7 linked regions of the Oryctolagus cuniculus genome follow. The protein of the gene in region 2 interacts with the protein of the main gene of each other region in a pairwise test. Links are inferred from orthologs where the notes say so. Each region holds a gene or a part of one and is shown on either strand. Other genes may lie near its edges. The genes, in order: TSPAN2, CREB3, KCNK1, APOD, EMD, ITM2B and SYNPR.

Evidence for each region.
Region 1: the proteins of CREB3 (region 2) and TSPAN2 interact in a two-hybrid assay, tested with the Homo sapiens proteins (2 studies listed by BioGRID and IntAct). The two-hybrid records come from large-scale screens. The link is inferred for Oryctolagus cuniculus from reciprocal best matches to the Homo sapiens genes CREB3 and TSPAN2.
Region 3: the proteins of CREB3 (region 2) and KCNK1 interact in a two-hybrid assay, tested with the Homo sapiens proteins (2 studies listed by BioGRID and IntAct). The two-hybrid records come from large-scale screens. The link is inferred for Oryctolagus cuniculus from reciprocal best matches to the Homo sapiens genes CREB3 and KCNK1.
Region 4: the proteins of CREB3 (region 2) and APOD interact in binary tests that used the Homo sapiens proteins (3 or more experiments, as listed by UniProt). The two-hybrid records come from large-scale screens. The link is inferred for Oryctolagus cuniculus from reciprocal best matches to the Homo sapiens genes CREB3 and APOD.
Region 5: the proteins of CREB3 (region 2) and EMD interact in binary tests that used the Homo sapiens proteins (3 or more experiments, as listed by UniProt). The two-hybrid records come from large-scale screens. The link is inferred for Oryctolagus cuniculus from reciprocal best matches to the Homo sapiens genes CREB3 and EMD.
Region 6: the proteins of CREB3 (region 2) and ITM2B interact in a two-hybrid assay, tested with the Homo sapiens proteins (2 studies listed by BioGRID and IntAct). The two-hybrid records come from large-scale screens. The link is inferred for Oryctolagus cuniculus from reciprocal best matches to the Homo sapiens genes CREB3 and ITM2B.
Region 7: the proteins of CREB3 (region 2) and SYNPR interact in a two-hybrid assay, tested with the Homo sapiens proteins (2 studies listed by BioGRID and IntAct). The link is inferred for Oryctolagus cuniculus from reciprocal best matches to the Homo sapiens genes CREB3 and SYNPR.

What each region holds. Positions count from the first base shown.
Region 1 is NC_091438.1:55,278,106-55,282,173, reverse strand, and holds the start of TSPAN2 (tetraspanin-2), read right to left. Parts: upstream 2,801-4,068; 5' UTR 2,728-2,800; coding exon 2,659-2,727; intron 1-2,658. UniProt on the Homo sapiens protein: May play a role in signalling in oligodendrocytes in the early stages of their terminal differentiation into myelin-forming glia and may also function in stabilizing the mature sheath.
Region 2 is NC_091432.1:198,639,632-198,643,871, reverse strand, and holds the start of CREB3 (cyclic AMP-responsive element-binding protein 3), read right to left. Parts: upstream 2,801-4,240; coding exon 2,363-2,800; exon of another isoform or gene 2,359-2,362; intron 2,262-2,358; coding exon 2,124-2,261; intron 2,027-2,123; coding exon 1,879-2,026; intron 1,803-1,878; coding exon 1,735-1,802; intron 1,616-1,734; coding exon 1,526-1,615; intron 1-1,525. UniProt on the Homo sapiens protein: Endoplasmic reticulum (ER)-bound sequence-specific transcription factor that directly binds DNA and activates transcription. Plays a role in the unfolded protein response (UPR), promoting cell survival versus ER stress-induced apoptotic cell death.
Region 3 is NC_091444.1:53,016,388-53,020,641, forward strand, and holds the start of KCNK1 (potassium channel subfamily K member 1), read left to right. Parts: upstream 1-1,454; 5' UTR 1,455-1,462; coding exon 1,463-1,817; intron 1,818-4,254. UniProt on the Homo sapiens protein: Ion channel that contributes to passive transmembrane potassium transport and to the regulation of the resting membrane potential in brain astrocytes, but also in kidney and in other tissues.
Region 4 is NC_091435.1:84,039,948-84,044,021, reverse strand, and holds the start of APOD (apolipoprotein D precursor), read right to left. Parts: upstream 2,801-4,074; 5' UTR 2,748-2,800; intron 1-2,747. UniProt on the Homo sapiens protein: APOD occurs in the macromolecular complex with lecithin-cholesterol acyltransferase. It is probably involved in the transport and binding of bilin. Appears to be able to transport a variety of ligands in a number of different contexts.
Region 5 is NC_091453.1:132,604,237-132,608,277, reverse strand, and holds EMD (emerin), read right to left. Parts: upstream 2,775-4,041; coding exon 2,693-2,774; intron 2,539-2,692; coding exon 2,431-2,538; intron 2,288-2,430; coding exon 2,210-2,287; intron 1,998-2,209; coding exon 1,864-1,997; intron 949-1,863; coding exon 902-948; intron 823-901; coding exon 501-822; downstream 1-500. UniProt on the Homo sapiens protein: Stabilizes and promotes the formation of a nuclear actin cortical network. Stimulates actin polymerization in vitro by binding and stabilizing the pointed end of growing filaments. Inhibits beta-catenin activity by preventing its accumulation in the nucleus.
Region 6 is NC_091440.1:67,251,882-67,256,169, reverse strand, and holds the start of ITM2B (integral membrane protein 2B), read right to left. Parts: upstream 2,801-4,288; 5' UTR 2,550-2,800; coding exon 2,433-2,549; intron 1-2,432. UniProt on the Homo sapiens protein: Plays a regulatory role in the processing of the amyloid-beta A4 precursor protein (APP) and acts as an inhibitor of the amyloid-beta peptide aggregation and fibrils deposition. Plays a role in the induction of neurite outgrowth.
Region 7 is NC_091441.1:86,155,172-86,158,671, forward strand, and holds part of SYNPR (synaptoporin), read right to left. Parts: intron 1,571-3,500; coding exon 1,379-1,570; intron 1-1,378. UniProt on the Homo sapiens protein: Intrinsic membrane protein of small synaptic vesicles. Probable vesicular channel protein.

The sequences.
Region 1 (4,068 bases), on a different chromosome or scaffold from region 2:
CCTGTTCCCAGGGAGAATTCAGAAGGTCAAAGGGGGAGGGGCATGTGAAGTTACTGTTCAGTGAAGATGAGCTCCAAGTCGCTTCGAGCACCTGTGTACGACCCCTCGCCATGAAAGGGGTCAGGGGAAAGAGAGCTAACATTATGGAACGCTTCCTACATGCCGGCACTGAAAAATGAAAACAATGACACTGAACACTTCTTGTGCACTAGGTTCATAGGAAGGTGAGGGCAGATACTTCATACGATTCCTGTTAATCTTCTCAACAACTCCGGTACCAGCTAGAGGAAAGAATAACTTGCCTAAGAACACCCTTCTTGGGCTCTCTGCTCTCCAGCCTGCTGCTTCCCAGGCCAGACGGCAGCTCACTGGCCCCTGGCTCTGCCCCTCCACGGGTGGCTCACCTGTGCCCACCCCCATCCCACCAGTCCCACATGTTCACCCTAACATGTCCTTTTGTAGGAGTATTCTCTGGGTTCCGCCAGTGCTCTGACCCTTTCTGTAAACTCCTTAGTTAGAGCACTTACAAGGTCATGGCTAACCTCATTGGCTAACAGTGGAGCCACTCAAACATTCCTCCGTTCCTTCTTGCCTGCGTTCACAGACCACAGTGTGAAATCTGTCACGTGGCAACAAGCTGTCTTACTTTTTGTCATTGTTCTATATGTATCAGTCGTGTCTCCACAGCTAGAGCAGCAGCTGGGTGGACAGTGTCCCACATTCATAAATCATGTCTTGCCCGTGAATTGTTTCTAAGAGTGGTTCCCAAACTGGAGCATGGGTCAGAATCGCCTGCATGGTTGGCTGAAACACTTGCAGGGTCCCATGAGCTGAGAGTGTGCTTGTCTGACAAATTCCCGGGAGATGCTGAGGCTGCTGGTTGAGGAGCCACACTTTTGAGAACCCCTGCTTAACGGAACGCCCCACGGTGTTGGAGAGCTGGTAGGTTGAGGGGAGCCCTGTCTCTGCCCTGAGCTGGGGGATCTTGGGCAAGTGAACCTGTTCGAACCTCTGTTTCCCTATCTGCAAAACGTGGGGATAACAGTAGTAAGCGTGTGATGACTTACTACTACTAAGAAGTAATAATACGTGTAATAGTGAAAGGAGTGCGCTTAGCTCTGTCCCTGACCCACTGCACACGTTCAGTCAATGCTTCCAGTTGTGCCTGGGAATGCTGGCACAGCATCAGGCGATGGATAAGCACAGAACCCAGCCTACAAATTCCTTCTCAGGCTGTTCAAAACCTCTTTTGATTTGTAAGCATAGAGAATGAAGGGTGTCACTACAGCAAGACATCTATTATTCACGGCTTTTGAAATTAAGGCAGGCTACTAAAAAATGCAACATACGGGACTCTGCCATGGCTCTCCCTGTAGTACGCTGGAAATAAATACCAGGTGTACAAATGCCACGTGCCTCTTCAAAACGCAGGGGCTGCCTGTTGTGCGCCTCCTGTCTACTCGCCCCTGCTGCCGGCTGCTTGGGAGGCCTCTCGGCCGCAGCAGAGCTTGGAGCTGCCGGAGGTCCGGAGCCTTCCTGGCTAATAGGCTGGCAGATGGGAGCGGGACCCACTGTTCAATAATTCATTGGCTGCAGTCATGCGAAGACAGCCTCCTCAGAGCAGATAGGAGGACCTCACCTCCAGCCCAGTGGGTTCAAAGCACCCCCGGGGCCCTGCTGCTTCCTCCCGGCTCCAAGAACCTCTTCACCCAAAGGAGCCCTCTGTGAGACCACCTGAGACCTAGCACTGGCTGGTGCTCTCTTAGGGAAGCCCACGAAGGAAGGTGCCAACAACACAGTTTTCAGACCTGGTCTTACAGTCCTCCAGAGCCCGGGACCAGGTGTCCTGGCACCTGGGGATGGTCTAGCCTTGGCCGTGCCCCAGGAATACAGGAGCCACGCGTCATAGCCCTCCCTCTCTGCGAACCACTAATTCTGGGAATGGAGTCAGTTCAATAAAACGCTGCAAACTTGAATGAGATCATCTCTGGGAGCGTTAGTGCTTAGCAGAGGCTGCGGGCTGTGGGCTGGGGCCTGGGGGCAGATGTCTCTGGGAGACCCCTCCATCCCCCACCCCTGTCACGGAAGAGCACCCACCACCACCCCCCATCCGGCAGCACCCTCCCCTAATGCTCAGAAGAAGGACGACCCTGCCCCCATCCCTCACCGTTTTCACTCCTATCCCTCAGTCTCCTCCACAAAACCACCAGGAGCCAGGGGGTGCGTCCACTCGCTACGGAAGGGGTACCACCCCCCGCGGCTCCAGGCCAGGGGTGTCGCTTCCAACACCCGGCCTGGCTGGGCACGGGCAGGATGGCAGAGAGAAACGGGGGTAGCACAGGAGGCCGGCGGATCTGGGGGCCGCCCCGGACCGAGCCTGGGCAGGCGAGGAGCAGCACCTGGTGGCTCCGCTGTGGGATGCTACCCCGGGCAGAGGGCTCCCTCGTGGGGAAGAGCCACGCCGCCGCTGCCCTTCTCCCGTTCCCTTCTCTGCCTTCCCTTTGTCTGCCTTCTTCTCGCCTCCGCCGTCTGAACACCCTTCCCTTGCCCGGAGCCCGGCTCGGGACGCCGCAGCGGTCAGCTCCCCGGGGACCCCGGCCCCGCGCCCGCCGCCCGGCCGGCCCCTGCCCGGCCCGGCCCTCCCGGCTCGGCTCTCACCCAGAAGAGCAGGTTGAAGCCGAGCAGCAGGTACTTGATGCACCGCAGGCCCCCGCGGAAGCGCCCCATGCTGCTGCCCCGGCGGCGGGCTCCCGAGTCCCCAGGCCCGCGCTCCGAGCGCCAAGAGCGGCGGGCGCCGGCGGGGAGGGGGCGGGGCGGGGCGGGGCTGCGGGGGGCGGGGCGCGGGCCCGGGGAGGGGGGGGACCCGAAGCGCGGAGGCCGGCGAGCGGTGGGGGCGCGGCCAGAGGGGGCGCGTGTGCTCCTCCCACGCACCCCGGGGCCGCCCCACCTCCCGCCCTGCCTTCCAGGGAGGACGCGAACTCCGCGGGGAAGGGGCGTCGCCTGCGGCCGGGGCTCCCTGGAGGCCCGAGGTGAAGGTGGAGGGTTGAGGACGCGGCCTCGGTGGCCATGGAAACCCAGGAGGGCGACTCCGGTGCTAGAGAGAAGATAGCCCGAGGCCGCGCTGCAGCCGGCCGCGCGCCTGCCGGTGCAGCCGACCCGGGCCCCGGGCCTGGGTTCGCGGTGCGGTGCGGGCGCGCGGGCTGCCAGGCGGCTCCCGGGGACCCTCCCCCGGCCGCTCCGGCGCCCAGCCGAAGCCTCTTACCTTAATAGGCAAGAACTGCGAGAAGGCGGCTTCTCGCAGCGGCTCCCCCGCCCCGGCGGCCGGTGCAGGGGTGGTGGACTCCCCGCGTCCGGGCTGGATTCGCCGACGGGAGAGCTGGAAAGCCGTTCAGATTCGGTGATCTGAATTGTGATGTGGAGAAGGGAGGAAAGGGGGCGTGTTTTGCTTTGCTTTGTTTTTACTAAGCTGGGCTGCTGGCAGGAAAAGGAGGCTCCCACTCCTTTGTACTATCTACAATATGTGGTGTCAGACAGTATACAGGAGACAGGAAAGTGTGGAATCCACCAGCTTTTGCATTGATTCAGCTAAGCTTTAAACGTCTGTTACAGGTCATGCGTAGCAGCCAGCCCCAGGGGTGCAGCAAGGAGGGGACAGCCAGGCCTGGTGCTGGTGGTGAACCCAGATCTGTGAGTACATAAATAGGGCAAGGTGAGAGGGCTTGGGTTGGTGCTGGGCAGGCACCACCTGTGTCGCAGTGCATTGGCCAGGGAAACTGTATCAGTCTGTGTTCTGTTGCTACAACAAAACACGCGAGAGGCTGGGTGATTTGTAAGGAAAAGTGGTTTTATTCAGCTCACCGGTCTGGAAGCTGGAAGTCCAACGTCAGAGGCTCTGTCCAATTTGGCCTTTGACCTGCAAGAAGGAGCCACTGCATAGCTAGGCAGGAAGCCGGAGACCAGGGAGGGGCTCTTCTGTAACAACTCACTAACTAGGGGTCCCAGGAGAACTCCCTTCATCCCCTTGGAGAGCAGGACCTCCTGAGACCTCCATTAGGCACCACCTCTTTA
Region 2 (4,240 bases):
TCCCTTGTCTAGCCTCCCTAACCAGTAGCCATTTTGGTTTCCATCAGAATGCCTCTAAAGACCAGGTGTTAAGATCACAGGTGCCAGAGCATTTTTAACAATTTCATTCACTGAAAAATTTCTTACCCTGAATTAACATCTGCCTCCATGTAATTTCTATCCATTGAACTTATCTCTGGGGTCGTGTAGAACAAAATTCTACATAGCTGTTTTAAGGCTGTTGGCATTTCCTCAGAGTTTAAAAAAACACACACACAAAAAAACCCTGGACAGACTTCTTAACCCAACATTTCACCATCACTGCATCCTCTTGGTATCTGTCAAAGATACAGGCCCAAAACTGGGCACTTAAAATGCACTGTGATTTGTACAAAAGACAGCAAGACAGTCTTGCCTTTTTAGAGACAATGCATGTATTGACGCTGCTTCCACATCCCACTTGCTTTGCCATATCTCACTGCTGACTCATCTTGTACTTTTAAGAAGTTAAAATTTCTTTAATAAGTACTTATTTTATTACAGGGTCACAATACTGTGCTTGTGAAGTCACCACCCAGTGTTGAAACTTAAAACTTATGCTTCTACATTTGTACTGTTAGAAGGCTTAGTCCAGGCCGGCGCCGTGGCTCACTAGGCTAATCCTCCACCTTGCGGCGCCGGCACGCCGGGTTCTAGTCCCAGTCGGGGCGCCGGATTCTGTCCCGGTTGCCCCTCTTCCAGGCCAGCTCTCTGCTATGGCCTGCAGCTCTCTGCAGTGGAGGCTGGCCCAAGTGCTTGGGCCCTGCACCCCATGGGAGACCAGGAGAAGCACCTGGCTCCTGGCTTCAGATCAGCGCAGTGCACCAGCCCCAGCAGCCATTGGAGGGTGAACCAACAGCAAAAGGAAGACCTTTCTCTCTGTCTCTCTCTTTCACTGTCCATTCTGCCTGTCAAAAAAAAAAAAAAAAAAAAAAAGAAGGCTTAATCCAGCCTCATTGAACTCCCTAAAACAATTCTCCCATTCAGCGCGATGTAGATTACCACCAAGCCGATGAACTCCAAGTGGCAGAGCCCTTCCCTTGCACAGTCCTGCCCAAGGCCCTACGCTAATGTTGCATTGATAATTCTGAAATCTTTTTTCTTAGAACACCAAAATGTGTTAGAAGCCTCACAAAACCAGGATCCACCCTTGCATCTAGCATATTAACCAACAACTCTGCTAAGATGTTCACCTCTTAAGTGTATCTTATTTTTGACACTGATATTACACACATCTATAGGATACAGAGTGACATTTAAGTAATGTATACAATGTAAAAATAAGTAGGGCAGGGTAACTGGCACATGTATCACTGCAGACATTTATCATTTCTTTGAATCAGAAACTGAATATCCTCTCTGCTAGCTATTTTGAAATGCAGCTGCTACCAAGCATAACGTTAGAAGTGACTCCTATCTGACTGCATTCCGGTACAGGTCGACCAGCCTCTCTGCACTCTCCCTCCCCTACACCCTCCAGCCTTTGCCCCACCAATGGGAGCCTTACCTTGGTGAGAGGAAGCGTTCCAGGCAGAGTAAGCCCCTCCTTCTCCAGTAGCCTCTTCTCCTCCTCGGTCAGTACCAGCCTAGCAACCTCCTGAGGTTACGGGGAAGTAGGCAGCAGTTGCATGGGGATGTCCGAAAGAAATGGGAATTCCCGCCCCGCCCCGCCCCGTGCAATGTGGGGATAAGCCTCCTGAAAATCAAGTCAGCTACCTGCTCTGTTGGCTCCTCCACATACAGCGGAGTCATCGGAGCCTCCTCCTTCCCATAGCTCCCACTATCTGCAAAAGGGCAATTGTGACTAGCCGGGCCCACGGACCCTCTCCTCTAGCTCCCAACTTTTCTGATGTCACTCACCTACGTCCACGGAGACATGCTCCTGTGGGAGGGAGTAAGTGTGATCGTGGTGCACAGGCGAGGGCTCGCAGGAGCTGAGGTCGGCCAACGACGCCGGGGGACTCAGCAGGGTGCTCAGCAGATCCTCTGCCTCCCAGTCGCTCAGTACCTGCACCGGGTTCAAATTCCCAGGCCCTGGCCTGTCACTGACACCCGGGTCTCGCGGACGTGCCGCGCCTCCCTGACGCGGAGCCCTACCCACCCACCTCGGAAAGCGGCAGCTCCCAATCCGGGGGCGCCTCCACCGACTCATCGGCTGCCTCCCCCCATGCTCCGCTCTGCTCGAGCAGGAAGCCGAGCAGGTCCTGATCGCCAGGGTCCAACGCCAGCTCCATCTGCGACATCTACGGCAGAAACTCAAGGGTTCACTTCGCAGCCCGGTTCCAATACGCGAGCCCCAGGCACGACCCCCAGCCCAACCGCCGGGTCTCTCCCGCCTACCCACCGCTCCTCTTCGGCTGGCCTTCCCCGCTGCCGGGGCGGCAGTCGCTGTCAAGCCCGACCCACCCACCCGCCGGACTCCGTCGCCCTCGGCCTCCAACACAGCACAAGTGACGCACGCGGCCCCGCGGCCTCTCGGGACTTGTAGTTCCCTCCGAGCCGGAAGTGGCTCGGGTGCTGCGCCACGTCCCGGGGGCGATGCAAATGAGGGGGACGTCCCCGCCCCGGGGGCGGGGACACCGGCGACTCGCCTCCGCCTTCGCCCCGAGCTAGAAAAAAGGAAGAGTCCGAGTGTAACAGGGAACTCGGGCGCCGCTGGGGTGTTTTCTCCGGATTGCGCCGCGCCCTGGCTTCCTGCCGGGGAGGGGCTGCCAGTCTTCGGCGGGCTCGCGAGCATCGAGAGCTGGGGCCAGAGCAGCTTCCTGCAGGTCCCCAAAACCATAGAGCGCGGGCCCAGGGCGCCGCCCGGGGGTGGGGGACGCGCCGGGGACGGAAGTGGCCGAGTGTGGCGAAGGGAGGGCGAGGCCGGAGCCGGAGAGCGGGCCCGGAGGACGAGCAGGGCCGGCGGGCGGGGCGCAGAGCCGGGCAGCGCAGGTAGGCCGCGGCGGGCCGGGCCGGAACCTCGGGGTGGGGCCGCGAGGTCTGGCCCGGGAGGCGGGCGGGCGCGGCCCCTGACTGCGGCGCGTCTATGGCGGGTTCTGGGGGAGACGTCAGCTTCCAGGGTGTCTCGGCAGGCCGATCTGCGGGAGGTGGCTCCTCTGCGGGAGCAGTCCTTGGCCTGGAATAGGTTTTGGGGAAGGGTGAGGAGTGTGGCGGCCGCGGGGCGCAGGGCGGGGATGGGCTTTGGTGTTTGCTGATAGCGGGGATGTTGGGCTGGAGAGCTGTGGATGAGTCTGGGTTTAGGTGGGGTTGGGTTTGGGAATCAAGGGTCTCTTTAGGAGGTGTAAGGCCGGGGTTAACGCTTGAGTTATTGGCGTGATTTAGATCCGTTTTATAAATAAGTGAGGTTGAGGTTGAGGTCGTTATTTTGTTTCCTGGGATGACCAGAGGTAAGTCAGAGTTAAAAGAGTTCAGGGTCAGGTTAATGGTCAACAACAGGAATTAGGTTAGAAGTCCATTTTAAGGATCATAGGATATTGTCGTGGTCAGTTTTAAGGATAAACAGTGAAAAGGTGAGTTAGGAATCAAGTTACAGGTGAGCTAATTTAGACTTAGGGGTCAACATTTTGGGTTAAAGTCAGCAGATTTGGTGCTAACGGTAAAAATTAGTTGAGCCTTAGGGATCAAGGATTGGATGCTTGCTGGTCTCTGCTAGGAGGGGGATTCTATGAGAATGAGGAAACAAATTAGGGCACTAAGGGCAGACCCAGGCCAGGAATATTGACCTTGGGCAGATAACATTTAAGAGGTCGGCAATAGATCGATGCCTTTGGTGTGTGTGTGTGTGTGTGTGTGTGAGAGAAAGAGAGAGTGGGGGGGAGGGAAGTCCCCTCATTTTTATTTAGTCACAGGAGCTTCTTTCAGCCAGAGAGATGACACATTTTGGGTTGGGGTTCTGGACTTCAGGTAGAATTTCCTCGATTCCTCTCTAAGCTCAATGCTGTTGCTGTGGCCACCACAGTTACGGGGCAGGGATTGCTGGACTGTGTTCTGTATGAGATGGGAGGTGGGCAATGGCCAGGGACCCAGGCAGTGGGGACCACCCAGGGAGGAGGAGAGCAGTGGCTAAGGGGGAAGCCGACCAGGGGCCACCGTTGTGTGAGAGAAGGGGATGAATGAATCCCTCGGGACTTAGTCCCATTGCCTCCCACTCCCCTCCTTCCTTCGCTGTTAAGCCCCCTCTCTACCTCTCATCCCTAGCTCTGCATGTTGCATCCTTCCT
Region 3 (4,254 bases), on a different chromosome or scaffold from region 2:
GCTAAATTTTTATACTTGATGCTGATTGAATATCCCCAATCCTGCATTTGTGAACTTCAATTTCTGAGCCCAAGTCAAAGACTTGCCTACAGAGCTAACATGTTTACAAATTATTCTCATCATGTCAACCCATTGAGATAATTATGCCTATTTAAGCCTAATTATCGTGCAACACAATACTGATCATTTATGTCATCCTCCAGTGCAGAGTTTGTTTCTTATAAAGCATGGTTACTATTCCACAGGTTATGTCAATTCGCAGGAACTCTGATGAATAAATCAGAGGCAGCCTTGCTCCCACTCACTTAACATCCTCTTCCCCATGCCAATTCCACCCTTGTGAATCTCTGCACTCTTCTGAGTTTTCTTCCACATTGAGGGCAGCCCCTGGTACCCTGGGATAAGGGTGAGGCAGCGGTTCACCCTATTTGGGAACATTTAGAATGCTTCTGATTCTTCATTATTTCATAAATGTGTATCACATGCGTGCATGTATCGATGTTTATGGACAACTTACATAGAACCCGTGGCCTCTCCGACTGTTTTTTTTCTGGGACACCCCACCCAGGACATGTATACTCTTTCAAGGCTCTGAAACAGCGCCGAATTACCTTTCCAGAAAGGGGACACAATTTTTAACTCAATAAGGCTCTCACGCCCTTAAAAAGAAACGCTCGGGGGAAGCTGTTTCTTGTAGTAACTGACCCACTGGAAACTTTCTTTACGGTAAAACCCAAGGTCACATCTTAAAGAATCAGAGTTCAGAACCAGGGCCTCCCTCAGGTCCTCCTAGGGAGGGGGATGCGTGGGTGGGAGGAGACTTCTGGCATCCAAGGAGGCTCTGGCACCAGGCTGCTCCACTGTCTGGCCAATGAGACAGAGAAGGCAAGTGTCCCGGCGCTGCTTTGGGGGTTGACAGGGAGGAAATACGTGGGGAAGCGAGAGTAGCTGGCACTAGGGGCTTGGTCCGCGGGCGCATTGACCCGAGATTTCCCACCCTCCTCTCCCGGAGCAGTTTGCTGGGGTTCGGTTCCTGGCCCCCAAAAAGGAGCGGGAGTAGCCCGAGGCGGCCGGGCAGAGAGAGGGTCTGGCTTCACCGAGTCCCCGGCTCACCCCTTGCGAGCGGGCGTGGGGCGGGCGAGTCTCCTCGGCCCGGCGCTCGGGCCAAGTTTGCGCGCCGACTCTCGGGTTACCTGAGCCGGCAACCACGTCAGCGCCACATCATCTGGGCTTTTTATATTGCGAGGAAACAGGAAAAGAAGGAAGAAAAACAGCGCCGGAGGGAGCCAATCGCTGGGAGACGCCCGGAGGAGCGTGGCGGGCGGGCGAGCGCGCAGGACAGCAGGCGGCGGGCCGGGCCGAGCCGGGGCGCGAGCGGCGGGCGGGAGGGGGTGGCAGGCCGCGCTCCGGCCGGTCTGCGGCGTAGGCTTCGGCTTTGGCATTGGCGGCGGCGGTGGCGAAGATGCTGCAGTCCCTGGCCGGCAGCTCGTGCGTGCGCCTGGTGGAGCGGCACCGCTCGGCCTGGTGCTTCGGGTTCCTGGTTCTCGGCTATCTGCTCTACCTGGTATTCGGTGCCGTGGTCTTCTCCTCGGTGGAGCTGCCCTACGAGGACCTGCTGCGCCAGGAGCTGCGCAAGCTGAAGCGGCGTTTCGTGGAGGAGCACGAGTGCCTGTCGGAGCAGCAGCTCGAACAGTTCCTGGGCCGGGTACTGGAGGCCAACAACTACGGCGTGTCGGTGCGCAGCAACGCCTCGGGCAACTGGAACTGGGACTTCGCTTCCGCGCTCTTCTTCGCCAGCACCGTGCTGTCCACCACAGGTAGGCGGCCGCCGCAGGCCCCCCAGAACGCCACCTCGCCCCACAACCCCTGTCCCAGCTCCCCTGGCCCGCCTGTCGCCTGAGAGCACCTGCCCCTAGAGTGCCCCCGGCTCTCCATCCCTCCAACCCCTAGGGCGCTTCAGGCCCCTCCAGCCCACTCCCAGGTTCCCAGGTCCCTCCCCGGGTCCCTGCTGCAGTGACTCGGGAAGGGCAGGTGCTGCGAGCCGGAAACCACGAGGTGGACGCGGAACAGGACTTGGGTGTTGCCGCTCGTAACTCTTGGGAAGTGGTCCCTACGCCCTTCCGTCTGGGCGGCCGCAGGTGCCTCCTGCCGCCGGATACCCTACGCCGGGCCTTGGAGTTTGGATCTATAGCCCCTTGGCAGCCAAGCGCAGCTAGTGGGCTGGGAAACACCGGCCAGTGCTCGCTGGCGCTCACCCTCCTCCTGCCCTGGTTCAGGAGGGCCCCTGCGGCCGCAGAGTCTGAGGACACTATGCTTACGGGTCACCTTCCCAAGGGTGACCTCTCTTGCGCTCAAGCGTACCTATTTCGGTTCTTTTGTGCCCGGTAGGCAGTTTGGGGTAGCCGGGTGACATCACTGGGCCCTTGGCGCGTGACCTCTGAGCTCACCGGTCGATCGGGTTTCTTTTCAGAGTAGGACGGGTGGGGAGAGGAGAGGCGAGGGAACATCGATGGCCTGTGATCTGCCAAAATGCGGGCACCCTGGTTCAGCGGGTGTTTCAACTTTTAAGTGTGCGAGGAGGCTGGCGGGTGAACTTGGAAGCGGCAGCCGCAGGACGCTCAGGAAGGGAGGCGCGTCCCGGCGTGAAGGAGAAGAGGCGCCTGCCACAGGGCGCCGACCCTGCCCGGTGAGGTGAACCGAGGCCCGGGTTCCCTGGCTGTGGCTTGCCAGGCTTCTACACCTGGACGGAGGCGCCGGGCGAGCCTCCGGCACAGTCCCTTCTTGCATCCGTGAGATCCAGTCCTTACAATGGCCCGTCTTGGTGTGCACAAGGTCACACACATCTTCCTTACCCATGTACTCCCGGCGTCTGGGCCTTGGGAGTTCCCTGCCTGGAACACATTGTAACCCCTCCATCTGCCTCCACCCTTCCAGGTGATTCAACAAACCCTTTGGTTAGGACTAGGACACTTCCTGGATTATCGCCTCTTGTCCACCTCCTGGGGTTCATTTGCTTATAATCCTCTTTGGGCTATACCTAGTTGCTTGCTTTGGTAATCATTTGGTGATGAGTAATAATACAGTAGATGACATAAAACAATTATTCGTGAGTCTGGGGTGAATTACTAAGCCGATGTGAATTTTTCCTAAAATAGAAGTGTAATTCTAGCTTGCTATTGTGATGTTTTTAAAACTGTGTTTAAGGTATCCTTAAACAAGACAGACCTGTTACCTCACTTCCCAAAGAATGTGTACTCTTTTGCCAAATTCTGTCTCTGTTGTCTTTCTCTAGCTCTGTTTTCAGACCGCTTAGAAGTTGCCATGCCTTTCTTTTGGTTCATGTCTGTGCTAGATTGAGACTCATTCATTCTTCCCAGAAGTGAGAGTCTCCACTGGGCTGCTGAATGTTTACAGCCAGGTCACAGTGTTGGGTAAACATTTTGAACAACGATGACAGCTTTTAGTGTTTTCTTAGTAATGGTATTTTGAAGATGGAACAGGAATAGAACAGTGCTAGGTAGTGCACTGTTGAGTGTTGCTATCACTGATGATGCTCATATACTGTCATCAGTGTGGACCTAGTTCAGTGTCAAAAATGAATTTGATTTTGATAATCCCCCCCCCCTTTTAAATTAACAAAAATGTAGCTGCTGTAAAAATGGAGGTAGGGATAAATGTCTTATTATTGGTATGCAGTTTACATTGTAGTTCCTAAGAAAGTCTGCATTCATGCAAAACAAGAGGTCATTTAGGAAATCAGGGCAAGGGACATGTAAGGATAGACTAACTGAAAAAGGTGCCTTTTGGTTTGTACAACTAGTGGGTCAATAAGCTGTTGTTATATGAATAAAAGTAGTCTGAATGAAAGATACTCTCCTATTAGTTTTGTACTCATCCATTATTTGACTAAGTTGAGATTCTTTGGTCTCAAAACACTGATTCTGTGCCAGAAGTTCAGACAATTTTTAGAGCAAAGCTGATAGACTTAATTACTAAGGAAAAAAATGTCCTGGAAAAGGACATTGTTTTATGTGAACTGAAATGTATTGGAATCGCTTTTATTTTTTCAGGTGGCTATTAGCCATGTGTTTTTAAATTGCCTTTAAAACTCTTCTCATCCCATTGGTGCTGAGTCGCTGAGACAGTTGTGAGTGCATCAGCATAATCCATCCTTGACTTGTCTAGGACAGCATTGATGGGCATTATAAAGACAGTGTTCTTGGAAGTCATCCTATAACAGGTGCATGCGCACAT
Region 4 (4,074 bases), on a different chromosome or scaffold from region 2:
TGTCAGACTCAGAAAGGAACAGCAGCGGCGTGGGGCAGCGGCAGGTAAAGCGGGCGAGAGAAGCCTTCCAGCAAGCCGTGAGAGGGAAAAGCTAAACAAACAAAATCGTGTGCAGGGTTTGAAGTCTTAGGCCTCCCTGTTGGCCAGCCTGAGAGTGGGCCTGGGACCTCCACAGGGAGCGGGGCGTGTATGTTTTGGGGGGGGGGACCTCCAGGGTCACCCCGAATGGGCTTGAGTTCTGGCTCTGCTGCACAGTAGTGTCCTGGGTCTATCTGTGCCTCAGTGGCTGTCTGTGAAGTGGGACTAACACTCATAGCTGTGAGCAATCCATGAGATGACCTAGTACTTCAGTCTCAGTGCTCCGGGATCCCTAGTTGTTGTTGAAAGGCAGCTACAGATGATTGCATTATTGCATTTCCCAAACTTCCTTGTTTTTGACATTCTATTCAGAGTATTTTTCATAGACACTGGGCATTTAACCAGGGAAGGACCTTCAGCTGATGGGTGATTGTGCAGCCAAGTGTTCCAACCGGAGGGTCCTGAGGAGGGTTAGCCCGCTAGGGGAGGGAGATCATGCCCGGCCCCCAACCTCTCCCCCTCCCCCCACTTGCTGGCCTTGAACTCCTGCTTCCTCCCTTCCTTGTGGCTGCTTAGCCGGTAGCTAAGCTAAGCTGCCACGAGCTATTTCCAGCTCCTTGCCTCTCCCTGGATGAGGCTGACTGAGTCAACGCATGCACAGTGTTCTCAGATCTGAGCATTTAAAAGGCTGTGTCATAACAGGCATAATTATAACCACTTTATTACAAGCCTCGGAGCCTCCAGATAACTTTAATAATCAATAGCTTGTCTTCTGGAGGCTTCCTTGCCTGGTTTTCAAAAGAACGGTTATGTAATGAGGGAAAGCTACCAGCTGAGGCTGGTGGGGGAGGGGTGGTAGCAGAGCCCCCTCCCCCACCAGCCTCACCCCCCCCCCCCCCCAGTGAAGTCTGCCTGGCACCACCTTGCTTCCTCTGGGAGACTCCTTTTCCCCATCCGCTCCCACCACCAAATAAACGCCTCCTGTCTTTTAACCTTTTCAGGGATGATGGGCTTGCAGGAATGCAACCCAAGCCCACAGAAATCTGTGTTCATTTTCAAGAGATTCTCAGAACCTCGGCGGCTCATCTCAGAAGACCCAAGCCAAGTGCCCTGTACAGAGAATCTAACTGCAGAGGGTGGCCACTCTATGCATGTTCTGCAAGACTCCCCCCAACATGGACAGGGCCTTGGAGGGCACCTAGCCAGTCCCCCCCCCACGCTGTCTTCCAAGTGTGCGGATGGGGAAACTGAGGCCTCGAGGGGAGAAGCTGTGACTCCAGCCTCGGCCCCCGGCTTCCTCCTGTGCACGCTCCTGTGCTGTCTTTCCATGAGCACTTGCCTCTGTGACCTGAGACGAATGTGGCGTCAGCACGTGACAGTTAGAACAAAAGGCAGTTCTCCATCTGATTCTGACAAATGTCTTATTACAAAGCGTTCCTGGTGGGCTGGAACATATTCTTTAGCTCTGTGGGAGGATTTCAGAACAAGACTAATCCCCCTGATTGCACCTCTCCCAAAGATGCTTCTTGGCTGCAGTAGCTTAATTCCCATGGTCAGAGCTCCCTGTGAGATGCAGGATTGATAGCATCGCCAGCATTTTCCAATTCCCCTTCCGTGGGGGTCACCCAACACTTAGCGAGCGTGTTATTAAGGTATGCCTATGACCTTGGATGACATATAGATTGCATACGACATACACTTATATTTTTCTTGCCCAAATGAGAGCTTTAAATACTTTCAAAAGGAGATAGAATTTATTGGATATTATTTTAAATTGAATATTAAATAACTAAAAAGTAATTCCACTATGGCAACACTGCATCTATCTTGGACCAGGCACTGCCTGCGAATCTCTGCATACACCCATTGATCTTCTTCATGGTGAGGGCTTGGCATTAGTGTTTTAAGTGTGTTCTGCCCTGAGTCTCTACAACACCTCATCTGGAAATGATCTCTGCAGATATTCTCTTTGTCCTAATGGAGATAATGGCCCCAGTTCCTCCCCTTCGGTAAACCGCGAAGCCAGAATTTAAGCTCAGCTCTCCTAAGAGCCCTTGCTCTTGGTGCGTGGGGGTTTCTGTGGACACAGTCCTGTATCTCTGGGAGCTGCAGATTTTAAGGTTGCACATACAAAATAAAACATGTTGCCACAAGTAAATACATCTTTAAAAAAAAAAAACCCACTTGGCCACCAACTCCAACAAGAATGGAAGGAAATATTTCTATGCCATATTGTGAAGTGCATTTTCTATTCCCACAGTTAGTTCCAGGTTTCACTTAATTTCACTGTAATGCACAGTTGGATAACTCCATGAGAACTCATCTAGTGCGGTACTGGTGCGTGGAAAATTGTCTCATTGTTTCATTCACAAGGGGGAAGGCATAGCATAAACAGAAGGCTTGGGGTGAGTCAACATTGACTTTGGTCTTATCTTAGGCCTGATGCTTATCACAGCTGTGCCTCAGTATTGGCACCTGAAAAACAGCACTAATAATACCTACCTTGTATGTTAGTTTGAAGAAAAAGTGAGACCAAGTTCATAAAGCTACTACATAGGCCCTCGATCGGTGGTTCTGAATTTTAGTTGAAAGGGAACAATGAAAGACCATGACTGCTTCTATTTTAAGCATTATTTATCATAAATGAAAACTTAACTATGGTACATACCTTTTTTTTTCACCAAGAAGAGAGTGATGTCCACGAATTCATCCGACGTGAGATAGCTCTCTTGGTGACTGGCTTCTCCCACGTTATTTATAAGCTTCATTGGGTCATTAGGCCTTAATCTGCATGCATGCCACACCCCCTACAGTTCTGAGAGCTGGCCTAAAAGCCCAGCTCTGTATGAAACACAGATGGGATGTTGTGTCCATTCCCCTGCCCCCGGTTTCCTTCACAGCTGCTCTCCTAAGAAGAAACAAGGAGTTATTGTGTGTGCGTGTGTGTGTGTGTGTGTATGTAAATGAGACAGGGAGAGAAAGCACATTTTCATTCAAAACATCTTTTTTGCTACGTGGACTTCTTTGATTTAATTTTTTCCAGTCAGATGCACTTTTAAATTCCAGCAAGATGAGTTGCAGTATGTTTTCAAACAGCTGGTATTTATTTTTCATTTTCTGTAAATGAACAGTCAACAGTTCCCTTTTCTAATACAGAGTCTGGACTCCACCCCATGTGGTTGCTGGACCGGAGTGGGGCTCAGTTAGCAGAGAGGAGTAGGAACCAGAGCTGCTTTGCTGTGGTGTCCTGGGCAAACCCTCAGCTTCCCTAAGCCTCAGAGTCCTCTTTGTGCAGTAGAGGTGGTCACTTCTGTCCCCTCCTGAGCTGCATGTGGAAGGGAGGGAGGTACCAGCTCTGCAAGCCCAGAAAGCAGAAGGTGGCTCCGGTGGCTCCTCTTTCTGTGCCTTCAGGACCCTGCCAGCTCCATGTGCTAGGCAGCCCATCACTGCTGGGGGGGGTCCTGCAATTCACCCAAGGCAGAGTAGGCGCTGACACGTGAGAAATCCCGCAGAGCACAGGCATGCTGAAGAACAGGCGGCTAGGAGGATGAGTGCAGGGCCCATCCCAGATCCACTTCAGCAGCCTGCGGGGGAGGGGTGGGGGGACTGCCGAAGGGACTGCCGAAGGGACTGCCTCGAGGGACGTGGTAAGCATCCCGGCCTGGGGGACACAGCCTAACTGCTCAGGTACAAGTAAGGACCCCTCTGTCCCAGCCATCTGTGATTTCAGAGCGGTCCCGTGTTAACAGTGCTAGCGTGTTAGGCACACGCCATGCTGTGAATGGCCACCCGTGGGCAGCAGCGGAAGGAAGGCTCAGGGGACTGGACACGGGCACTGGGAGGCCAGGCCTGGCTCAGGTCTCCTGAGACCTCGGGGACCAGGCAGCTTGTGCTGTCCTCTCAATGATGTGACCGCCAACGGGGACATAAGCCCTGTCTTATTTCAGCGTGGGTGTCCCAAGAGGCCATTACCACGTTATTGTCCACACCGAGGGA
Region 5 (4,041 bases), on a different chromosome or scaffold from region 2:
CAAAACCACAGAATCAATAAAGCCAGGTGACAATCCTTAAAAAACCTTAAGACCCAGAGACCCCAAAGCATGGCAGCCAGCCTCTCCCCCAGCAGGAAGAGCCAACACATTAAAAATAAACGGTCTTTATTGCGTCCACGAAAACAAAGTCGAGGTGGCCCTTGGTTAACCTCAAAAAGGTGACAACGAACAGGAGGCATGCATGAGCACATGACAACATCTCTGAAGGAGTGAAGTCTTGCCCTCCCAGGCCCTAAGGGTCAGAGGCAAGCAGGGCCAGGAGGCTCCAGAGGAAGGCACGCCCAGGCCTACCAGAACGTGAAGGGCCCGAGTCTGCTGCCTCCCTGGTGGGAGCAGGCAGGGGGAGCAAGCACTGCTCAGGGCTAGGCCCAGCCCCCAAAGCTAGAACACACAGAAAAGCCCCCACCCCCACCCCCAGCACACACTGCACTAAGGCAGACAGCCAGGACTTCAAAGAGCTGGCTCTGAAATCAAGACCCTCAGGGATCCATCCAGAAGGGGTTGCCTTCCTCTGCCTGCAAGGAATAGTAAACAAAGAGCAGGAAGGCAGCAAAGACCAGGAAAAGCAGCAGCTGGCCCCAGAGTGGGACCTGGCGGTCCTGACCCAGACCAGCTGCAGGGGCCTGCTTTTCTGGTCGGATGGCACGGCGGGCGAGCCATGATGGAGAAGGCGAAGAGGCCACAGAAGAGGAGGATGCAGGGTAATAGGACAGGCCCAAGGAACTCCTGGAGACGTTGGAAACAGGGCGGTAGTGTGCGATGCTCTGGTAGGCACTGTCACGGCCATATGTGGAGCGTTCCCTAATGCAAAAGAGGGGAGCAGGTGAGCCAGGAGAGCTAGGCCCAGAATCACTGCTCCCAGGGCCTTCCCACTACTCACCTGTCCTTGTCCTCCTCTTCAGAAGAGAAAAGATGGTCACTGCGCACCTGCAGACCAGAATCGAGGTGACGGGACTGGCCAGCAGGGTCAGCACAGCCTGTCGTATTACTCAGCCCACTCTAACCATTGCTTAAAGGCCAGACAGGGCAGGCATTGTGGCGTGGCAGGTTTGGTTGCCAGTTAGGGTGCCCATATCCCATACGGAGTGCCAGTTCAAGTTTTGGCTGGTTTGCTTCTGGTCCCCTGCTACCCCTGTGGAAAACCTAGATGGAGTTCTGGGCTCCTGGCTTTGCCATGGCCCCCATCCTGGGCATTTAGGACATTAACCAGGGGATGGAAGACCTCACTTTCTCTTTTTGTCTTCCTGTTGCTCTGGTTTCAAGCAGATGAAAATAAACATTTTTTTTTTTAAGATTCTACTTATTTATTTGAAAGGCAGAGTTAGAGAGGGAGAGATCTTCCACCTGTTGGTTAACTCCCCAAATGGCCACAATGGCCAGGGCTGAGCCAGGCTGAAGCCAGGAGCCTGGAATTCCATCCAGGTCTCCCATGGGAGTGGCAGGAGCCCAAGTACTCACACCATCCCCCACTGCTTTCCCAGGCACAGTAGCAGGGAGCTGGATCAGAAGTGGAGCAGCCAGGACTCCAACCTGGATGCACATGGGATGCTGGCACTGCAGGCGGTAGCTTAACCTGCTGTGCCACAGCACTGACCCCAGAACCCTCTTTTCTCCCCCTGGATTCTGAGTTGGAACTTCAGATCCTGACCAGGGTGCAGGCCACATCCTGTGTGCTCTAGTCAAATACTCTTGACACGCCCCGTAGCAAAGTCCTAACTCATCCTAACTCTCTCTGGAAACCTAGGAGCTAGCATTTGTACCCAGTGATGCTGGGATTTACCCAAACCCAGCTGTCATCCCTTCAAGCTGCCCCCGGATATGAGGTGCCCGACGGCAGCTCACCTGGTGGTGGGAGGTGTCAGCATCAGAAAGCGAAGTCCCGGGTTGCCGGAAGCCTTTGGATGTGCCCACAGACTCGGGCTCCCCGTAAGTCCTGGTGCTCAAGTAACTCTCCTCGTAGTAGTCATCATTATAGCCTTGAAAAAGGGAGCACTGGTAGCAGAGGGCAGACCCGTGTTCCCCAGCTGCTCCAGGGACCCTTATTTAAACAGCGTTTTTGGGGCCCCTCTCAGGTCGCTGAGGCTGGTGGGGAGTCGAGGCCTCAGGTTTTCCCTACGCCCACGGTCCGGGACAGGGTGGGTGAAGGTGTTGGGGTGATGGTGTTAAGGGTGTCAATTCCTTGCCTTACCCTTGCTCTGGTAAAGTAAGGCGTCCTCTTTCTTGGGCAGGTCGTACTTATCCGAGTCCACAGATGCCGAATCCAAGTCTGAATTGAGGGGGGGGACGAGACCATTTTCCCCCAGGCTTCCCTCCCTTCTTCGCAGTGCCTCTCTCGGCTAGCAACCCACCCCCCACGCCACACCCTCGAAATCCCACCCTCCCTGTCACCACCGGCAGCCAGCTGCTCACCCGAGAACCGATAGGAGAACGAGGAAGCAGACGAGTTGGGTGGGGAGAGCCTCCGCCTCTGGGTCTCGTACTCGAAGATTTTCTTTTCGTAGAGCTTGCGAGTGGAGCCTGACCAGACAGCGGGCGCGGGGCGGTCAGGGTCGTGGGCTGCGAGCCCAGGGAGGGAATCTGGGTAGGGGACGCAGGCGGGGGGTACCGGGGGGCTGCGAGACGGCGCGCGGGAGAGCGAGTCCCGGGAGGCGTCCCGCCCGCTCCCGCGTACCCACGACTGGCCCGTGCGGAATGTTGTACTGGCGCAGCACGGCGGCCAGCTCGGTGTCCGACAGGACCGCGTAGTCGTCCATCGCGGGCGCGGCCGGCAGGTGGCGAAGGGCTGGGGGCAGCCCGGGCCTGGCGACACAGGCCAAGCAACACCACTGCCTCGCAGGGCTCGGGAGCGGCCGCGCTTGCGTCACGTCTGCGTCACGCTCCCGTCATGGCCGCGGGCTCCGCAGGCTGCGCGCGCTGCGCGGGGCGGAGCCAAACCACAAGGAGGAGCCGGCACGGACCGGTCTAGCTGTGGGAGCGGGCGGGGCGGGCCTGGCGAGCTCGTATTTCAAAAACGTGCGAGATTGGTTTGTGGCGGAAGAGGGGCGGGGCCTGTGTGGGAGCCAAAGTGGCTCAGACTACTCAGGCCGTGGGAGTGGGCGGGGCTGCACGCTCGAGAAAAGGGGCTGGACGGGCACGCCAAGACGTCACACGCAGGCGCTTCTGAGCTAGACTCGCGGGAGGGGCGGAGCCTATGCGACCCGAACCGGTAGAAACCGGCCAGAACGTGGGAGCTAGGGAGCCGGCGGCGTGGGTGTCTTTGCGGTGGTTCGGGCCGGTTGACTCTTGCCACATCCCTGCGCCTGCACTCGTCGTCCCCCTTTTCCCGGGATCCCAGGCCGAGGGTTCTCCCGCAGCAGCGGGAAGGAGCCACCCTTTGCACAGCGCCGCTCTCGGGCCAGCCACTGCTGTCTACGCTTTGGGTGCGCTACGCGGACCCCCTGGCCCAGGCCGGCCTCGCTGACCTGCACCGGCCCTCGCCTGCGCACCTGCGCCCATCGGTTCCCATCGCCTCCCTCCCTCCTTCCCTTGCTCCTCCCGCCCTCCACCCGGGAGGAAATGGGGCACTGGGCCAGGAGGACGCGGGCACTCCTGGAGCAAACAGCCTTCGAAGGGGCCCGGCGGGCCGTTCCAGCGGGCACGGGCAGAGCGCGCTTCGGAGAGGGAGTGTGCCCTCCCAGCCCACCCTACTGTCAACCCGGGGTACTGGGTGGAAGGGAAGGGGGCTCCAGTCGGAATGGCCCTGAGCCCAGTGACCAGGAGGGGGCCGGGCAGGGGCAGAGGAGCCTGGTGAGCCGTGAGAGACTGCCAAGGCTTGCTCAGGTTCCTGTACTGTGGCTGGGTTGGCAAGGGTCTTAATCAGAAGAGGGCTGTCCCCTTGGGGAGTCGAAAGGAAGTGACAGAAGTGGGTGCATGAAGAGATGAGGTGCCGTCCTGGCCTCACAGATGTTAGCTGGTGACAAGAAAGTGCGAGGGCTCTGATCAGCTCCAGGCTGAAGGGCCCAAACTGGTGATGGTCACAGG
Region 6 (4,288 bases), on a different chromosome or scaffold from region 2:
ACCAAAGCAGGTGGTCCTTAACAGCACACTTTGAAAAATACCAGTAACAGGGGTTATGGCATGTTGTGGTCTAGGAGAGTTAAAGGTATTAGACATTTGTCTCCCGCAGTTCTGGACCATAACTAGCTTCACTTGATCTCTCAACACCAATCAAGGGAAGGAAATGCCCCAGGTAAAACTGAGACTAATTCTGTTCCCAGCTCAGGCAGTCAGACAAGGTGATTGCCACACAGCCACTCATCCCCAAGGAGCGGCAGAACATTATGTAATCACCGCCCAAGCTTGGAGATGGAGAGATCAGAAGTTCTCTCCCAAATGTCTCTCAGCAAGTCAGGTTTTTCCTTTGCATGTAAGTGACTGATTTTAACGATTAACGCAGTGAAAAAATCTGCCATCCACTTAAAGAAAACTCGTGCTTTTCAGCTTAAAGCTGGAAACGGACTTATTTTCTATCTACCAATTCATCCATGACGGCTGTATGGTTACACCGGTCGGGGCGCCGGATTCTGTCCCGGTTGCCCCTCTTCCAGGCCAGCTCTCTGCTATGGCCAGGGAGTGCAGTGGAGGATGGCCCAGGTGCTTGGGCCCTGCACCCCATGGGAGACCAGGAAAAGCACCTGGATCCTGGCTCCTGCCATCGGATCAGCGCGGTGCGCCGGCTGCAGCGGCGGCCATTGGAGGGTGAACCAACGGCAAAGGAAGACCTTTCTCTCTCTGTCTCTCTCTCACTGTCCACTCTGCCTATCAAAAATAAAAAAAATAAAAATAAATAAAAAAAAAATACAAAGGAAGACTCTGGCCCTCATTGCCAGTCCTAGTATTTTTCTTTAGATATGAGAATCTGAGAAAATAACCAGAAAACAAAGCACAAAGCTTCGAATACATAGCTCACCTTTTATAGCTGCTATGACCACAAAATTTAAATATGGTGAACTTGTGAGAAACTCTGAGAACTTCAGGAACGACAGAAACTGTCAAGATAGATTTAAAGCAGCTCAGTAAATGCAATCATATTTGCCCAGAGTTTCAAACCTCCTTCACTACAGTGGAACACAGCAAAGCTGTCTGAAGTGACATCATCCAGTGCTTTCTCTTCTCTTTTTTTTTTAAAAAAAACTGGGAGGAGTTATATCTGTTTATAAGATTTTAAAAATACATGGAATAGCGTTTAGAATAATGTATATATCTGAGTTGTAGTAATTGAGTACTTGACTGTCAACCTATTTTAGACCCAAGGAATATATTAAAGACCTAAGATAATAATTTCCTACTGAAATTTCTGTCTATACATTCCAAACATTTTCTTTTAAGACCAAGACTGTTTACAATGGGCTCAGAAAAACAATACCAATCCTAAACCCCAAACCTTTAATCCTTTTAGGGAATCCGTTCACTGTTCCTGTTTCAAAGCAAGGCAGTCACTTAAAAAAATCGACCCGTGCCAGTTCTGCAGTCCAGATTAACATTACATTTTCAATTTCTATCAGTGGCCTACGTTTCAGGAGTAATTTTCATTAGAGCATATAAAAATTTTTTATCACTCACACCTGGCCCACAGACGACTGTATTTTTAAAAACAAATTTACAGGTCCTGAAAAGTGATACTGAAAAAATAAGCTAAGCGATCCAACTTCTACAGTTAACTTCTGCAGGATGGAATTTCTGCAGCCTAGAGACGATCTGGTAGGCAGAGGTAACTTTTGAGACAATTCCACTCAGCTTAAATGAATAATCCTGCAAGCAACTAAAAGTTAACACAGCAGGAGGATTTCATTAGGGACCCGGGGGCAAATTTCTTTATAGCAGTAGGAGCACTCGGTGAGACGATCTGAAAGCCAACTGTTGGATTTAGCCTCACATCTACCTAACAGTTGACCTTCACTGGGAATAATCGGTTTTCATTGTGAGATACACGGCCAGAACCTACTCCGGGCAGTCTGTCTGTCACCTTGTCCCCCCCCTTCTCCGGACCCCACGGTGAGGTTCACCCGCCAGGACCGAAGGGCCGTGGAAAAAGGCAGTGAAGAGGAAAATGCTTGAAAAAACGAAGACGCTCGCAGTGGCTGGACTTAGTCCAAGTGCTGCTCGGCTAGAAACGAAAGTAGCAAACAACAGAGGTTTAGGCTTGGAATGTCAGCCATTTTAGGGATATTATTTATCCTGGGAAGGGAAGTCCCGGACTCGGCTGTTGTTGTGTTGCTGTCGCCGCCCGGACCCAGGCGGAACCAAGCCAGCCAGCCCGCCAGCCCGGGCCTCACAAACCAGAGGGAACGCGGCGCAATTCTCGACGCGTCCACTCCCGGGCCTGGCGAGCGCCGAGCGCCGCTTCCCTGCACACGCACTTCCCTCACAAAGGAGGGCGAGCAGCGCCCGCCCGCTCCGGAGCCGCTCCCGCCGGGTCCCGCACCCCGCTCCCTCCCCCCGGCTCGGACCTTGCAGTCCACCGCGACGGCGTCCGGGGGGATGATGAGCGCCTCCTCGCCGCTCTTGGGATCGTCCTTCTTGGCCTCCTTCTGGGCCAGAGCCGAGTTGAACGTCACCTTCACCATGGCGCGGCCTGGGGCGCCCTCGGAGAAGGGCGGCGGCGGCGGCGGCGGCGGGCTGGAGGCGCGGGCTGCGGGCTCCCGGCTGCGGCTGCAGCCTCCTCGGCCGGGCTCCGGACGAGGATCAGCGGCGGCAGACGAGACTCGGGCAGCTCCGCGACGGCTGAGGCGGCGACTGCGGCACGGCCCTAGCAGCCACCCAGCTTCAGCGCGAGGGCGGAGACGGCTCGCGCAGCCCCGGGCCGGGGGCGGGGCCGGCGGCGAGGGGGCGGGGCCGGCCCCTTCTCGGGCCCCGAGGCCCAGCGGAGGCCCAGCGGAGGCCCAGCGGCCAGAGGAACGCGGGAGTGGGGTGACGTGCTTGGTTCAAGGGTCGGTCCTTCTCCTGAGTCGCCTGGCCTTTCCGATTCTGAACTCGTTTCTGGCCGGTTTGCCTTGGGACTCAGTGTTGCAGGTTCATAGGAAAATCGGCTGAACTTTCCTGGGTTCGCCGCGTACAATGGATCCACTTTAGGTAGCACCAGGCTGTCTCTTCCCCGGCCGCTGCCCCCGCCCCTCCGCGAGCCTCAAGACCGCGGAATTTTTGTGCGTCCACGTCTCCTTTTGCTCTTAGTAGGAATCCGCCTCAGTGGAGCACGGAAATATTCAAAGCTCTCTCTATCCCTTGGGGTCTGACCTCCGTTCCAAGGACCTCACCCAAGGGTGTGCCTCACGCAGTCTTGTCTTGTTTTCTTTATCTGCCTTCCCCGGGATGTCCGCGCCTGCCCAGCCTAATCCCACAGCCCTTTGGAGGAAGACTCTTAGATCTGTTTCAAACAAATCACACTGGTAAAACAACATGTTCCACGCTTGTGCAGACTTGGGGGGAAAAACCCTGCACACTGGGCTGATTTGTGATTCAAGGCAAATCGGTGCTCGGTGAGGAATCCTTGTTTTTCTGCAAAATGAAAGATAATCTCTTCGTGTCTCCTATTTTGAAGAGGTTTCGCAGAGAAAGCTGTAACAGATACTGGCCAACACGGCTGTTGGGTTTTTAACTAACAACAGATGGCCCCTTGGACAAACGGTTTGGTTTTGTACCATTCTCCCATTGGAGAAGATTGGCCTGGTTCAGCCAGAGTTGTGGGTGTGCTCCAGAATGTTCCAACTATGTCAGCTCTGCCCTGGATCAACCCCAAGAAAAGTAGGTTGAGTTTGAGGTTCTTGGGGATTTGGCTGTGCTCAAGGAGAGTTAGATGTCTTGAAGTCTCCGTAGAATGTCAGATCAGAAATCTCTGAGAAATAGTCCAAGTTCTCAGCATCTTTTCAGAGCACATATTTCAGACACATCAGGGACTGAGAGAGAAATCCAGTTCAGCGCTTTGGTCTTCTTGGCTAATCTGAAATTCCAAAGTGTTCAACGCAGGCTGAGAAGACTTGAGTTCTAGTTCTTGCTTGTTTTAAACAAGCTAGTCACATGATTAGCAGTAACTTACTTGATCTCCCTGGGTCTCCTTTCCACAGGCTTCAACTCTCTGAATTGACCCCGTGAACTGACTTTTGATAGTAAAAATGGAATCCAATTTCTCGAAGTTAGCCATTGCTCCCCACCTCTCTGAGCCCTGCTTGCACGGATTTCCTGGGACATTAGAACTGAAGATTAAGGAATTATTTAAGCAAGCTCCTATGTCTATACTTACATCGATCTGTCAAAGGGCAAAATTACAAATTAGTTTAAAGATTTTGGCTCCATTTCCAATTATAGAATC
Region 7 (3,500 bases), on a different chromosome or scaffold from region 2:
AGTTGGAAAGGAGTTTCCTGTCACAAGGAACTAAAAGGCTCTTCAGGGACATAGATACATACCTACAAGCACAACATATGATTTGATTTTAATATGACTCTCTTTTTGGTTTTACAAGCACATCATTTTGTTTTTCACTCATAATTCCTATTTCAATCTAAAGTTTATTAGAGATATCAGAAGTGGAATTAAAGGGAACATACAGGGTCTCATAATTTATTAGGAGATGATTGGACTAAGAGATACATCAAGTAATTTGATTTTTGTCCCTTTATGCTTTGAGATCAGAGTGACAATAGCTTCTATTAAACACTGTCCAGAAACAAATGACAGAATAATAACTATATTTGTTAATGCATACCTTGAACTATTCATATGCATATATGGCCAATAGTTAATAAAAAGTTTCGAGACCCTCGTATATAGTTTATTTCCATGGTTACCATCTCACCAAGGCAGGATTCAGTCAAGTCATCAGGACCAGAGTAGAAACATTTTCCCCTTTCTTAACTGTCTTCCCAGATTGAATTTGAGAAAGCTGTACAAACACAGGCTAACCTTGAAGAAAAGATAATTTTTTCTTAGGGTTTACTTAAGAATGCTGTTGCTTCAACAAACATGGTTGAGCCTTGTATCTGTTGATGACTGCTGCTTTTCCCGGCCACTACAGTTTATGTCTTTGTGAGAGAGAGCTTCTCTTTTTAGAATAACACAAGTTTTAACACTTATAAATTAAGAATCCAATTTAGTGTCCCTGGTGTCAGCTTGTCTCTCTTTGTTAGAGCTAAATACTTGTTAATAATATTTGACTTTGTTCAACTACTATAATGCCGATCTTCTAAAATCATCAAGTAATTAAACTGGGAGCACAGAGAAGACAAAAATACATTACCATAACCATTAGAAGTACCTTTTAATACCATGTACTGTATTTCTTTTTGTAGCCTACTAGGTCTGTGTTTTTTTCTTTAATCAATAAGGTGTGATCTACATGTGGCTTCATGTTTCTTCCCAGGAATAGACTTCTATTGCCATCACATAGTCCTTTCAACTTCTCTGACAAGCTTCAGGATTAAAGCTCAGATTTTACATTTGCTTCTGGCTGGAAATTTTGACTTGACTGTTATCTAAACAGCAGCTGCTAATACCTGCTGTGTACTCATTAAGAACTCTGCAATGGGTGGCATTCAAGTCTACGGCTTCTCACAATAAAGAATTTGAAGGCCAAAGCATCACATTGCACCTGAGGTGAAAGATCACCTCTTTGAGAGGTCTAGTTTTGGAGGCAGAAATTTCCAAGATGACTTCTGAGATACTAGTCTTACTCCTTTGACACACAGAGATTTGGGAAGGAAAGCACACATGCAAGCCTACTCACCACGGAAGTGTTGAGGCTGGACATGACAGGGCTGTGGACAGCCATGCATTTGTTGGATGGCTGTTTGCAAGCTGACATCAGTAATAAGACTTCCTTGGGGTCTGTTGCAACTTTGACATCAGATAGTCCTTTCGCCCAAGCAGATGAACCCACCAACCACAGGAAGGAAAAGACTACGGTGACGATGAAGTCCTACAGAAACAGAAGAGAGCAAACAGCAAAGGGGAACATGAATTCTAAAAGCAAATGGTTAAGTTTATGTACTTATTTGGCCTTTTGGAAACTTAGAATATTCTGTAACATTGGAATAGAGGAAACATGATGAAAAACAAAGAACAGAAGGTTTATGATACTTGTATATAAATAATTGTAGTGTTTATTCAATGCTTATTATGTCCCAGGAGTAATGCTAAGGACATGATAACCATAATCTATTTTTCTCATAGCATCCTGTCAGGGAGTTTTTACCATCATCCTATTTGTAGATTACAAACTCAGAAAACAGTTGAACAACATGTCTAGAACATGAAAGATAGGCAGGGAATGTATTGGGATCCAATACTGAGTCCAACCACTTAACTAAAATGCTGTCATGATCTCAAATATGTAGAGAGACTTACCAGTTGTTAAACACTTCTGGATGTCACTACTTACTCATTTATTCACTTTTTAATTCAGCAAACCTACAAGTTATTTATTGCAATGCCTGCAGATGTGTTTAAAAAGGTGGGAGACAATAATAGCTATGTGTTCTAAGTGCTTACCATGGATGAGAAGTTTTATGTAAAATTTTCCTTATTATAATCCTTTTATGTAGTTATATATAACATCCATTCTAAAGATAGAGAAACTGAGGCTCAGCTACATAAGGTAACACATAGAAAGTGGTGGAGCCAGAGTTGAAGTCTGATGTGTTTGGCATCAAAGCCACCTGTTGTGTGTGCAGGGGAAACAAGTTTCTTGGCCCACATCATACAATATTTCTGTATGTAAGGCAATGACCATTTCAGAGAACCAGCATCTGTGTACTTCCAGAGGGGGCTAATTCCATAGCTTCCTGTTGATTCCAAGAGGTGGCTAGTGGAAGTCACTTTCTAAGGGGTAAGCAGAGTATGTTTCACTGACTAGGACAATTTTCCAGATCACCTGTATTTTTTTTTTTATTTTTTATTTTTTATTTTTTTTTTAACTTTTATTTAATGAATATACGTTTCCAAAGTACGAATAATGGATTACTATGGCTTCCCCCCCATACCGTCCCTCCCACCCACAACCCTCCCCTTTCCCACTCCCTCTCCCCTTCCATTCACATCAAGATTCATTTTCGATTATCTTAATATACAGAAGATCAGCTTAGTATACATTAAGTAAGGATTTCAACAGTTTGCTCCCACACAGAAACATAAAGTGAAAAATAATAGATGATTTTTTTTAATGATGATGAAATCAGATCAGACCTATTGTCATGTTTAATCCCAGTGAGAGTCAAGTTGGGAGTTGATAGTTTTCTTTTTTTTTTTCTTTTTTTTTTTTTTACAGAGGATCAGTTTAGTATGCATTAAGTAAAGATTTCAACAGTTTGCACCCCCATAGAAACACAAAGTGAAATATATTATTTGAGTACTCGTTATAGCATTAAATCTCAATGCACAGCACATTAAGGACAGAGATCCTACATGAGGAGTAAGTGCACAGTGACTCCTGTTGTTGACTTTACCAATTGACACTCCTGTCTATGGCATCAGTAATCTCCCTATGCTCCAGTCATGAGTTTCCAAGGCTATGGAAGCCCCTTGAGTTCTCCGACTCTTATCTTGTTTAGACAAGGTCATAGTCAAAGTGGAGGTTCTCTCCTCCCTTCAGAGAAAGGTATCTCCTTCTTTGAAGACCTGTTCTTTCCACTGAGATCTCACTCACAGAGATCTTTTGCCAGAGTGTCTTGGCTTTCCATGCCTGAAATACTCTCATGGGCTTTTCAGCCAGATCTGAATGCCTTTAGGGCTGATTCTGAGGCCAGAGTGCTATTTAGGACATCTGCCATTCTATGAGTCTGCTGAGTATCTCACTTCCCATGTTGGATCACTCTCCCCTTTATTTATTCTATCGGTTAGTGTTAGCAGGT